Linked DNA regions of Saccharomyces cerevisiae S288C. Changing the gene in region 3 together with the main gene of any one other region gives a genetic interaction. Each region holds a gene or a part of one and is shown on either strand. Other genes may lie near its edges.

Region 1 (3,399 bases), on a different chromosome or scaffold from region 3:
AAGTACATATTTGAGGACAACAATGATGAACTAGTAGATTCAAGTGATGCTGCTTTGACAGCAGGAATAGATAAGGTCGGAGATGAACTTGAAAATGTCATAATTGTCCAATTGGATGAATCGGGATCTCTTGAGGATATCACACTAATCAGCGACCAATATGAGCTTTTGTCACATAGGACAAATAGTCTCAGCTTGGAGGAAAACCAAATGAGAACATTATCATCACATGGTGATGATAAATCTAATGATGAAGAGGAAGAACTTAGCGTTGACAGTGATAGATTCAGAGTGGACTCGGACATTGAGCTCGATGTAATTTCACAATTTTGCGATCTGTCTCCTTTTCTTCGCGATTTGAGTTTGAATGACTTAATTAAACTCTACGTCACACAAAATGAACAATTACAAATGCTCTCCAATTCCGTATGAAAGCAAAAATGAAGCCGCATGGATGAGACTCTCTTAACTTGTTTATGTAGGTATATGTTCTCTATATTTTATGATAATTCTGCAAAATTTGCTGGCATCGGATTTATTTTGATAGAATAGAATTTTTCAATTTCTCTAAGTTTTGCTAAATCAGCTTTGGTAATGAAGTTTATAGCCACACCCTTTCTACCAAATCGACCACTTCTACCGATACGATGGATGTAATTTTCTATTATTTCTGGTAGGTCATAGTTAATGACTAAAGAAACTTGTTGGACATCAATACCGCGCGCCCAAACATCCGTCGATATCAGTACACGAGAATGACCTGTTCTAAAATCATTCATTACTTTATCTCTTTCTTCTTGTTTCATATCACCATGCATGGAGACTACAGCAAAGTTTGATTGGATTAGCCGCTGAGATAACCAATCTACTTTTTTCTTGGTGTTACAGAATATCACACATTGTGTAATGGTCAAAGAATCGTATATATCACACAGAGTATCGAATTTCCACTCTTCTTTGTCAACATTAACGACATATTGTTTGATACCTTCAAGTGATATTTCATCCCTCTTCACTAGGATTTTAACTGGATCATTCATAAATTTTCTGGTTACTTCTAAAATGTCCTTATTCATTGTTGCGCTGACAACAACAACTTGGCAATTTTTAGGCAATTTTGCAAAAATATCGTATATTTGTTGCTTGAAACCTAGTGTCTCACTCAATAATTCATCAGCCTCATCTAAAACTAACATTTGAACATTTCTTGTTTGCAACATTTGTTTCTTAATCATGTCTAATACTCTTCCTGGTGTTCCGCTAACGGCCTGGCAACCATGCTTTTGCATTTTCTTCAGGTCGTCTTTCAAAGTTTTACCACCTGTAATGGCAAATGCATTGACATTCATATAATCCCCTAGATTTTTTACTACTTGCCCAATTTGGCTTGCTAATTCACGTGTTGGAGATAGTATTAGAGCTTGTAAATCTTTCTTCCTTAAATCAATAGCTTGTAAAAGGCCGATTGTAAAAGTTGCTGTCTTACCTGTACCTGATTGTGCTTGTGCTATAACGTCCTTGCCCGAAATAATCTGTGTAATAGCCCTTGATTGGATAGAGGATGGTGCTTCAAAACCGTATGAGTATATTCCTCGAAGTAAGTCATCTTTTAGATTCATGCTTTCAAAAGTAGAAGACACCTTTAATTTTTTCGATGTTTTAAACTTCAATTTTTGGTCTTCTTCTCTGTCAAACGACATGTCTAATGAGTTTTTTTTTTGTTTCTGTACGGTCTATTTTATTTGAGTGAACAAATTTTTATACCTCTTGAAGGAGTGGTGGCCCTTTTATATTAAAATTTGTGTATAATTCATGTTTTTATTTTGTCTGGGCCCTGCTATTATCTAGCTCATCGCATAAAATAAAATTTTCAAACTTCGGCATAAATTCTCGACACTGATAGAAAAAGCAGATCAAATAGTAAGCAACTATGGATTGTACGCTGCCATCACGGATAATTCAATTTATCTGTACATTTTTCCTAGAGCATACCACAAGGGAAATCGTTTTTAATTTTCGTTTCCTGCATTAACAATTAGCGAGATAAATATTACAGGAAATGGACAGAAAAGCTGTCGAAGAAAAAAGAATTGTTATTTCTATCGGTGGAGGGCATGCTACTGGTGTTGGAGCAATTGCACTGGATTTACAAAATACTTTCAAAAGCCTATATAACTCTATCAATATAAGGGTAATAAACCTAGATAATATGATAGAAGGGAACATCAAGAGCTACAATAATAACGACTATGATTTTGATAATATCCTTAATTTGGTATATGAAAAGCACGCTGTAACTTCTCAAAATGACATGATTCAACATGATTACGAGGACCCGATAGATTTGATAATAGTATGTGGCTGTTATGCGCTATACGATAAACGCATCAACGAAATATCTCAATTAAAAGTATTCTTGGATAGTGATGCAGATAAAAGATTAATTAGTCTAATCAAGAAGAAGAACGTAGGGAGCAATGAACAACTAGCCCAGTTGATCACTGAGTATATGGACCATCTGCGCCCGGAGATGCAACAATATATAGAGCCCACTAGAACTTTTGCAGATTTGATCATTCCTTCTACAAATGAAAATCTAGGGCGCGCAGTCCTCGTGGACGGTATAGTTAAAGCAATCGAAGATACCAAAAGCCAAATAGAAGGCAACAATACGAACAACAAAATACGCCCACGTTTATGGGATTTCGAAGCTGAAACAATGGACTTGGAGAAAGATAGATATTACGATCTGTCATGAGGTCCTTGCCTTCTATATCTGCGCCACTTTTAATCGGCTCGATGCGACTAACATCCGTATTTACCCACACAAGCTTATTGATTTTTTTTTTGCATTCTTGGATCTCGATGGGCGCTTTTACTCCATTAGAACCATGCTCACGGGAAGCTGAGTTCTTACTTAGAGCTGGTCATAGATATCACCTATTTTGTTCATCGCCGTGACTTCTTTCGGCAGGGCGACTCTGCTCAGGAGCCCTGACTCGTGTTGCCTCGAGTAAACGGTATGTCAAAAAGAATAGGTCCAAATATCATATATATAGCACCTTGAACCCAAACAAATCCAATTACAGTACCCGTAGCTCACATATGTAGAAAGAGCTTTGCCTGGCACAAGCAATAATGTCTATAATCAAAAAAATTGTGTTTAAGAGATTCAACTCAACTTTGAAAAAAACTGCTCTTCATGACCTTCATGTGTCATTAGGCGGTACAATGGTACCATACGCAGGATATTCCATGCCCGTACTATACAAGGGACAGACTCATATTGAATCACATAATTGGACCAGGACAAACGCTGGTTTATTTGATGTTTCTCATATGTTACAAAGTAAGTTATCTGGTCCTCATTCTGTTAAGTTTCTGCAACGTGTAACGCCC
Region 2 (3,742 bases), on a different chromosome or scaffold from region 3:
ATAATATGATAGATTTCTTTCAAATATGCGGACACTTTGGAAAAATTGTCGGGATCATAATACGCCAATATTAATAAGGCTACCAATTGACCATAACCCACTGAATTTTCTACCAAAAGGTTATATTTCTTCAGTTCGTATTTTGACTTTTTTAACAAATGCCTTAATAAGGTGGTTTGTTCCTTGTTGAGCAGCTTAGAGGATATCCAACTAAATTTGAACAATTCTTCATGCAACGACGGTATTAGTTTACATAATGATATGGTTGTTAGATCATTTATATTTGGAACAGTGCTTGAGACGGCGATAAACATTTTACCAACTATGGAAGCCTGGGACACTTGCCTTTCATGATTCACTAATTCATTAGTAAATGATGCAACATCAGAAAGCTTGAGGGGAGAATTTTCATCGTTTTTATTTATGAAATCAAACAGTTCAATAAACAAAGTCCTCAACCAGTCTTCCTTTTCATCATTTGACTCCAGTGCAGTGAAATCGGAGCAGAGAGTTTTTGATCGTTCAGGCCAGTTTCGTATCACCTCTTCCGTTAAAATGCTTGCCTGACTAGGGGAAGCTGGTGGTATCACTTTTTGAGAAAGAGCGTTCAATTTGGAAAGTAGCGTCTGTTCTGCCATAAAGTCCTGAAAATGTATACTGGTGCGAATATGTATCAACTGAAACCGTTTCACCCTATTATGCTTTAGATAAAGACGATAAAATCACAGCCCTATAATTTATGCAACAGTGTTTGCTTCTAAATCAACGTGTTCCCTGGGCATAAACTCTCATACGTTATGTCGCTATTGAAGAAATAGCGGAAAATCTTACGCCGAAGTTAGCGTTGTCACCCGGGAAGAAGAGAAGAACATAAGCCTTCTCATTCAGAACATGTAAATAGTGGCTAAAATGGTTATATTACACAATTCGAAACAGTGAAATTAAGAAAAGAAATGGTATGTTACGTTCTATTGCGCTTTAGTTTGAATTGAAATCATCTTTACCATGGTACTAACTACGCTTGCGATGAATCGTGCAAGTCCGTGCGGCTTATACGTAATGCTAATACTCAAAACAGGCGGAAAAGCAGAGGCAGTTGAAGTTGCAGAAGATATACAAACAAAAGTACATCGGACTGGGAGATGAGAGCACTACACGAGAACAGTGGCAGAGAAATGTGAGAAACGATACACTAAATACATTACAAGGCCACTCCGCATCTTTGGAGTACGTTTCATTGAGCCGAGGAGACCTTAGTATACGTGACACTCGTATTCACCTCCTGAAATCCATGTCCCCTGGCTATAAAGCCTACTTACGAGAAGAGAGGTAGGACGTTGAAGCCACATCCATAAATAATTTTTACATAAAATTACGCCTCGTATGTCGTTCTCAAGATTTATGGTAGAGATCACACTCAGTCAGTAACCTTTTAGGCATTGATTCTAGTAACTGTCGAACATTATTAACCTTGATGTTTATATAAAGATATAAAATGTTGGGACAGTATACAATTCATATCGTTTAAAATGATCTATACATGTCGCGTGAAGTCATAAACAGGGATTTAGAAGTGAAATCTTTTGGTAGTATAGGGGAAAACTCAGCTTGAAACTTTTCGTAATTGAGTAGGCCAAGTTGCAACCGTGTGAAATCGAATCATGCCTGACTCTAAGTACACAATGCAAGGTTATAACCTTGTTAAGCTATTAAAAAGGCTAGAAGAAGCCACTGCAAGATTAGAGGATGTCACCATCTATCAAGAAGGTTATATTCAGAATAAATTGGAGGCATCTAAAAATAACAAGCCTTCCGACTCCGGGGCCGATGCGAATACTACGAATGAACCTTCTGCAGAAAATGCTCCTGAAGTAGAACAAGATCCGAAATGCATAACTGCGTTCCAATCTTACATCGGTGAGAATATTGATCCGCTGGTAGAATTATCAGGAAAGATCGACACGGTGGTCTTAGATGCTTTGCAGTTGCTAAAGGGAGGCTTTCAATCGCAATTGACTTTTTTAAGAGCTGCTGTGAGATCAAGAAAACCGGATTATTCTTCTCAAACTTTCGCTGATTCTTTAAGACCTATCAACGAAAATATTATAAAGCTGGGTCAATTGAAGGAATCAAACCGTCAAAGCAAATACTTCGCATATTTGAGCGCTTTATCTGAGGGTGCTCCTTTGTTCTCCTGGGTTGCAGTGGACACTCCCGTGTCTATGGTCACAGATTTCAAGGACGCAGCACAGTTTTGGACTAATAGAATTTTGAAAGAATACAGAGAGTCTGATCCTAATGCTGTTGAATGGGTTAAGAAATTTTTGGCCTCTTTCGATAATTTGAAAGCCTACATTAAAGAGTATCATACTACTGGGGTTTCCTGGAAAAAAGACGGTATGGATTTTGCTGACGCGATGGCACAATCAACGAAGAATACAGGTGCTACTTCATCTCCTTCGCCAGCAAGTGCTACAGCGGCTCCAGCACCACCACCTCCTCCACCAGCCCCACCAGCTTCCGTCTTTGAAATCTCTAATGATACACCAGCAACGAGTAGTGATGCTAACAAAGGCGGTATTGGCGCGGTCTTCGCCGAACTAAATCAGGGTGAAAATATCACTAAGGGTTTGAAAAAAGTAGACAAATCCCAACAAACTCACAAAAATCCTGAATTACGTCAATCCTCTACAGTTTCTTCCACAGGAAGTAAATCCGGTCCACCACCAAGGCCAAAAAAGCCATCAACATTGAAAACTAAGAGGCCTCCTAGAAAGGAATTGGTAGGAAACAAATGGTTTATTGAGAATTACGAAAATGAAACTGAATCTCTGGTTATTGATGCAAATAAAGATGAGTCTATCTTCATAGGTAAATGTTCTCAAGTTCTTGTTCAAATAAAAGGAAAAGTTAACGCTATCTCGTTGAGTGAAACTGAGTCATGCAGTGTTGTTCTTGATTCTAGCATTTCCGGTATGGATGTCATCAAATCCAACAAGTTTGGCATTCAAGTTAACCATTCCCTACCTCAAATCTCCATTGATAAATCTGACGGCGGTAACATCTATTTATCCAAGGAATCCTTGAATACTGAAATCTACACCTCGTGCTCAACTGCTATTAACGTCAACTTACCAATCGGCGAGGACGATGATTACGTAGAATTCCCAATCCCTGAACAGATGAAGCATAGCTTCGCTGATGGTAAGTTCAAATCTGCTGTTTTCGAACATGCTGGTTAATATTGCGAGGAGCATTAATTGTATTTAGTTAAAAGAAATAAATCACATTTGAATCAATCAGAAAGAAAAGTGAATGAATAAACAATTATATACTTTTTGTAAAACCTTTTTTTCATGTGTAACCTTTTCTTAAAGAAGTAACAGGAAAACGAGGAGCGACTAAGTGACTACTTGATCGTTCGAGTAGAACTTAAAAACAAAAAAAATTAAATATTTACAGTGTAAAGAGAGGCTGAAGATCAGTCAAAAGACGCGTGCAACAATACACGACGATCATTTACCATTTCTCAAGTAATACATATATGCACGTTCATGAACAGGAACATCAAATGGTGAAATTACTTCGGATTGGCCTGGTCGAGCGACGGGATCCCTTAGGTATACAGCGTGGCATGTCTTGAAAGATATTTCCAAATGATGAGGTAAAATGGCGAAAGGCGATAAAAATGGTCTTGGCTTCCATGGTGTGAAAAAGGGTTTTTTAGGATCTTGCCTACCAT
Region 3 (4,584 bases):
ACCAGCGCACTCCGTCACCATACCATAGCACTCTTTGAGTTTCCTCTAATCAGGTTCCACCAAACAGATACCCCGGTGTTTCACGGAATGGTACGTTTGATATCGCTGATTTGAGAGGAGGTTACACTTGAAGAATCACAGTCTTGCGACCGGCTATTCAACAAGGCATTCCCCCAAGTTTGAATTCTTTGAAATAGATTGCTATTAGCTAGTAATCCACCAAATCCTTCGCTGCTCACCAATGGAATCGCAAGATGCCCACGATGAGACTGTTCAGGTTAAACGCAAAAGAAACACACTCTGGGAATTTCTTCCCAAATTGTATCTCTCAATACGCATCAACCCATGTCAATTAAACACGCTGTATAGAGACTAGGCAGATCTGACGATCACCTAGCGACTCTCTCCACCGTTTGACGAGGCCATTTACAAAAACATAACGAACGACAAGCCTACTCGAATTCGTTTCCAAACTCTTTTCGAACTTGTCTTCAACTGCTTTCGCATGAAGTACCTCCCAACTACTTTTCCTCACACTTGTACTCCATGACTAAACCCCCCCTCCCATTACAAACTAAAATCTTACTTTTATTTTCTTTTGCCCTCTCTGTCGCTCTGCCTTAACTACGTATTTCTCGCCGAGAAAAACTTCAATTTAAGCTATTCTCCAAAAATCTTAGCGTATATTTTTTTTCCAAAGTGACAGGTGCCCCGGGTAACCCAGTTCCTCACTATTTTTTACTGCGGAAGCGGAAGCGGAAAATACGGAAACGCGCGGGAACATACAAAACATACAAAATATACCTTTCTCACACAAGAAATATATGCTACTTGCAAAATATCATACCAAAAAACTTTTCACAACCGAAACCAAAACCAACGGATATCATACATTACACTACCACCATTCAAACTTTACTACTATCCTCCCTTCAGTTTCCCTTTTTCTGCCTTTTTCGGTGACGGAAATACGCTTCAGAGACCCTAAAGGGAAATCCATGCCATAACAGGAAAGTAACATCCCAATGCGGACTATACCACCCCACCACACTCCTACCAATAACGGTAACTATTCTATGTTTTCTTACTCCTATGTCTATTCATCTTTCATCTGACTACCTAATACTATGCAAAAATGTAAAATCATCACACAAAACATAAACAATCAAAATCAGCCATTTCCGCACCTTTTCCTCTGTCCACTTTCAACCGTCCCTCCAAATGTAAAATGGCCTATCGGAATACATTTTCTACATCCTAACTACTATAAAACAACCTTTAGACTTACGTTTGCTACTCTCATGGTCTCAATACTGCCGCCGACATTCTGTCCCACATACTAAATCTCTTCCCGTCATTATCGCCCGCATCCGGTGCCGTAAATGCAAAACAAATACCATCTATGTCTTCCACACCATCATTTTACTATGCCTGCCACCATCCATTTGTCTTTTGCACCATATCTTCATAACCTGTCACCTTGAAACTACCTCTGCATGCCACCTACCGACCAACTTTCATGTTCTGTTTCGACCTACCTCTTGTAAATGACAAATCACCTTTTTCATCGTATGCACCTTATTCTCCACATCACAATGCACTATTGCTTTTGCTTTTTCACCTGTCATATCCTATTGCTATTAGATGAAATATAATAAAAATTGTCCTCCACCCATAACACCTCTCACTCCCACCTACTGAACATGTCTGGACCCTGCCCTCATATCACCTGCGTTTCCGTTAAACTATCGGTTGCGGCCATATCTACCAGAAAGCACCGTTTCCCGTCCGATCAACTGTAGTTAAGCTGGTAAGAGCCTGACCGAGTAGTGTAGTGGGTGACCATACGCGAAACTCAGGTGCTGCAGTTGTTTTTTTTTTCGCGCACGAATACATCACGCAGCCTCGCCTTGACACTGCTCAAGGGATAAGGGGAAGGAGCTGAGATAGAACTGAGTTGGAGCGTTGCAGCGGCACGAGCAGTGAAAAGAGCGAAGAGAAGAGAAGCAGATAAAAGACCAAAGTAGCGATGATACTTCGATGTTTGGAGCGATTTTTCCTATGTGAATATTAGAAATCATATGTTTTGTATCAGCTGAACAGTGAATGATGTGCTCAATACTCAAATTCATCTTTTTGTTTGCTAAAAATAGCTTAACTGGCACATCATGAAAAGGATGTAGAAATTATAGAGTATATTTACTACTAAGAACTATATAAAAACACAGTGTGATGAAAAGTCACTGATCAGGCTTTAACCACCGTAGACGCCAGAAAAAACAGACCTAATCTGATCCATGCCGTAGCCGGAGTACAAACATAATTGTAGCAAAATACGCGATTTTTGAGGGTTTAGGTAGCCAGATCCAATGGCGTACTCTGGGGCATCATCTGGAGGAACTGTACCATCTGCTGTTCTTCTGCTGTGAACAATTGGTATACCATACTCTTCATAAAGTTGTTCGTTTACAATACTACCCGTAGCAGTCCAGGAACCAGCTCCAGAACCCGCCAACACGATACCTTTTGCGCCCAGGTCCTTGACGGCCTTTACTATTAGCTCAGGATTCAAGCCTTGATAGGAGTACAGAATAATGACTTCTGGAATTTCCGAAGGGTCTGTGAGGTTGGAAATGTCAAAAAATTGCCATCCATTTGGCTTGACTGGTGGGTAGTAAAACTCCACGTCATCATTTGAAAAGTAACCTAAATATCCCTGTTCATCCGCTCTGAATGTATCTAAAGAGTTGGCATTCATTTTCGTTGTCCAAAACCCAGAGGCAATACGATCGTTTAGAGTGATCATCGTGCCACGACCCAGTGATTTCTCAGAAGCAGCAATAGACACTGCTTGATATAAATTCATTGGGCCATCAGCAGACGTGGCAGTGGCTGGACGCATAGCGCCTGCGATACATACTGGCTTCTCTGAATTTATGGTCAAATCTAAGAAGAAAGCTGTCTCCTCCATAGTGTCGGTCCCATGAGTGACAACCGCACCAGCGTAGTCATCAGAGGCTAGTGCCTCGGAGATACCGTGATACAATGGGATCAGATGCGTATAGTTTAAAGAATTTGAACCAACGTTAGACACTTGAAGATAGTCCAGATTTGCCTTCTCAGCTAAAGATGGGACGGCTTCTATTAAATCATTTACGGTTAATCCCACGCTATAACCCGCCGTTGTTGCACTTGTCGAACCCTTGGAAGCGATAGTACCGCCGGTACCAAAAATTTTGATTGATGGCAAAGAAGAATTCTTCTCTTCACGAATTTTTAGTAGTGGAGCACCACTGGACATTGCGACAAAGAGAGAAAGTAAAAGGGTATTTAAAGATCTCATAGTTGGAGGTTGGTGAGTACCAGATTGCTTACAAAAGAATAGCGAGCCAACATTTGCTCTGCCTCAGGCCTCTTGGTGCTGCTTGAAGACTCATCTTATATGGCTTTTGTATGTCATGATTTGTTCTTGTACATTATGTGTTGATATTAAACAAATTGATTTTTTTTTTTTTGCGATAGCAAGCAGATAATGAAAGAGACAAGGACTTGGAACATCCGATAAGACTGCGCCGATATCGATCTTACAGTCCTTCCCTTGTGTCATGACTTTCGGAAAAGCATCCTCGTCGACTGGTAGTTTGCTGTCTGTCACGTGCTGAAGGGTCTGATACATTTTTTTAAAGATAAGAGACGGGGTTTACCCTTCGGAGGACTAAGCGAGATCTCCAAGTAAAGATCTCGCTTATCAAGAAAGCAGCCAAGTGTGGAACGTCCTTTTTTTTGGTTTCAAAAAGATATTCAACAGTTTACACTGCAGCTTTAATTGCCTCAAAAGGATATCATGAGGTGATCTAGGGTCAGAAGGGAAAGATTACAGCATCTTGAGTTGAATCACATCTGCAAAAGGTGGTATTATTGACGTTGCTCTTCCTTAATGGAAACTCATGGGGTTTGGAAAGGAGGTGCGGTAATCTATTTTTTTCGAACACAAAACCTAACCTTGAAAAGAAACTGTCCAATTTCATTGAACTTACCTCAGAACGGGCCGGAGTCTTTGCTTTCAGTCTAACATGGTCTAATTTCTTCGAAAAGCTTCATTTAATTGTTAGACTGTGGTTTTACAAGGAAAAAACCAGTGCTATACTGAAGCGATACCCAGAACTAATTACCTTGTGTGACGATTCGGCTCAGCGAAACGGACATGGTAAAATTGGGAATTTGAAAGCAGGCAGCAGCCTTGTACAGCGACATGACGATAGGTTTAGAATCCCCATCACGTACGAGTTGAAGAATTCTACGAAGGCTCTATGCGTTATTCCTCTATCGGTATAAAGTGTAGCGTTGTAGGGGGGATATTGGTGGTTTAGTTGAATTTGCGCAACGAAATTATAGAACTCATAAAAGTTCAATTCAATACTTGAAACCCTTAACGTTGGTTCGACCATCAATTGTTTGGACATAATAGTTTTATTCTGCGGCCGATTTCAAAATTTAGTAAATCAAATGTTGAAGCATCACCAGTAGGATGACCACTCCCATGACAAAACTCCGTCCCAAAGATAGCTTGATCATCCTAAGCGG

The links.
Region 1: mutations in YLR154C-H (region 3) and FAL1 together harm fitness more than expected from each alone (negative genetic interaction), as found in Saccharomyces cerevisiae (one large-scale study listed by BioGRID).
Region 2: mutations in YLR154C-H (region 3) and SRV2 together harm fitness less than expected from each alone (positive genetic interaction), as found in Saccharomyces cerevisiae (one large-scale study listed by BioGRID).

Annotation. Positions count from the first base shown.
Region 1 is NC_001136.10:485,105-488,503, reverse strand, and holds FAL1 (ATP-dependent RNA helicase FAL1), read right to left. Parts: upstream 1,701-3,399; coding exon 501-1,700; downstream 1-500. Other genes in the region: ATG31 (Atg31p), read left to right, coding at 1-432; putative uridine kinase DAS2, read left to right, coding at 2,060-2,758; GCV1 (glycine decarboxylase subunit T), read left to right, coding at 3,139-3,399. UniProt on the Saccharomyces cerevisiae protein: ATP-dependent RNA helicase involved in 40S ribosomal subunit biogenesis. Required for the processing and cleavage of 35S pre-rRNA at sites A0, A1, and A2, leading to mature 18S rRNA.
Region 2 is NC_001146.8:365,080-368,821, forward strand, and holds SRV2 (adenylate cyclase-binding protein), read left to right. Parts: upstream 1-1,661; coding exon 1,662-3,242; downstream 3,243-3,742. Other genes in the region: THO2 (Tho2p), read right to left, coding at 1-638; U2 snRNP complex subunit YSF3, read left to right, coding at 954-956, 1,079-1,333; mitochondrial 37S ribosomal protein uS4m NAM9, read right to left, coding at 3,516-3,742. UniProt on the Saccharomyces cerevisiae protein: The N-terminal domain binds to adenylyl cyclase, thereby enabling adenylyl cyclase to be activated by upstream regulatory signals, such as Ras. The C-terminal domain is required for normal cellular morphology and growth control.
Region 3 is NC_001144.5:467,063-471,646, forward strand, and holds YLR154C-H (uncharacterized protein), read right to left. Parts: upstream 1,897-4,584; coding exon 1,765-1,896; downstream 1-1,764. Other genes in the region: asparaginase ASP3-1, read right to left, coding at 2,255-3,343.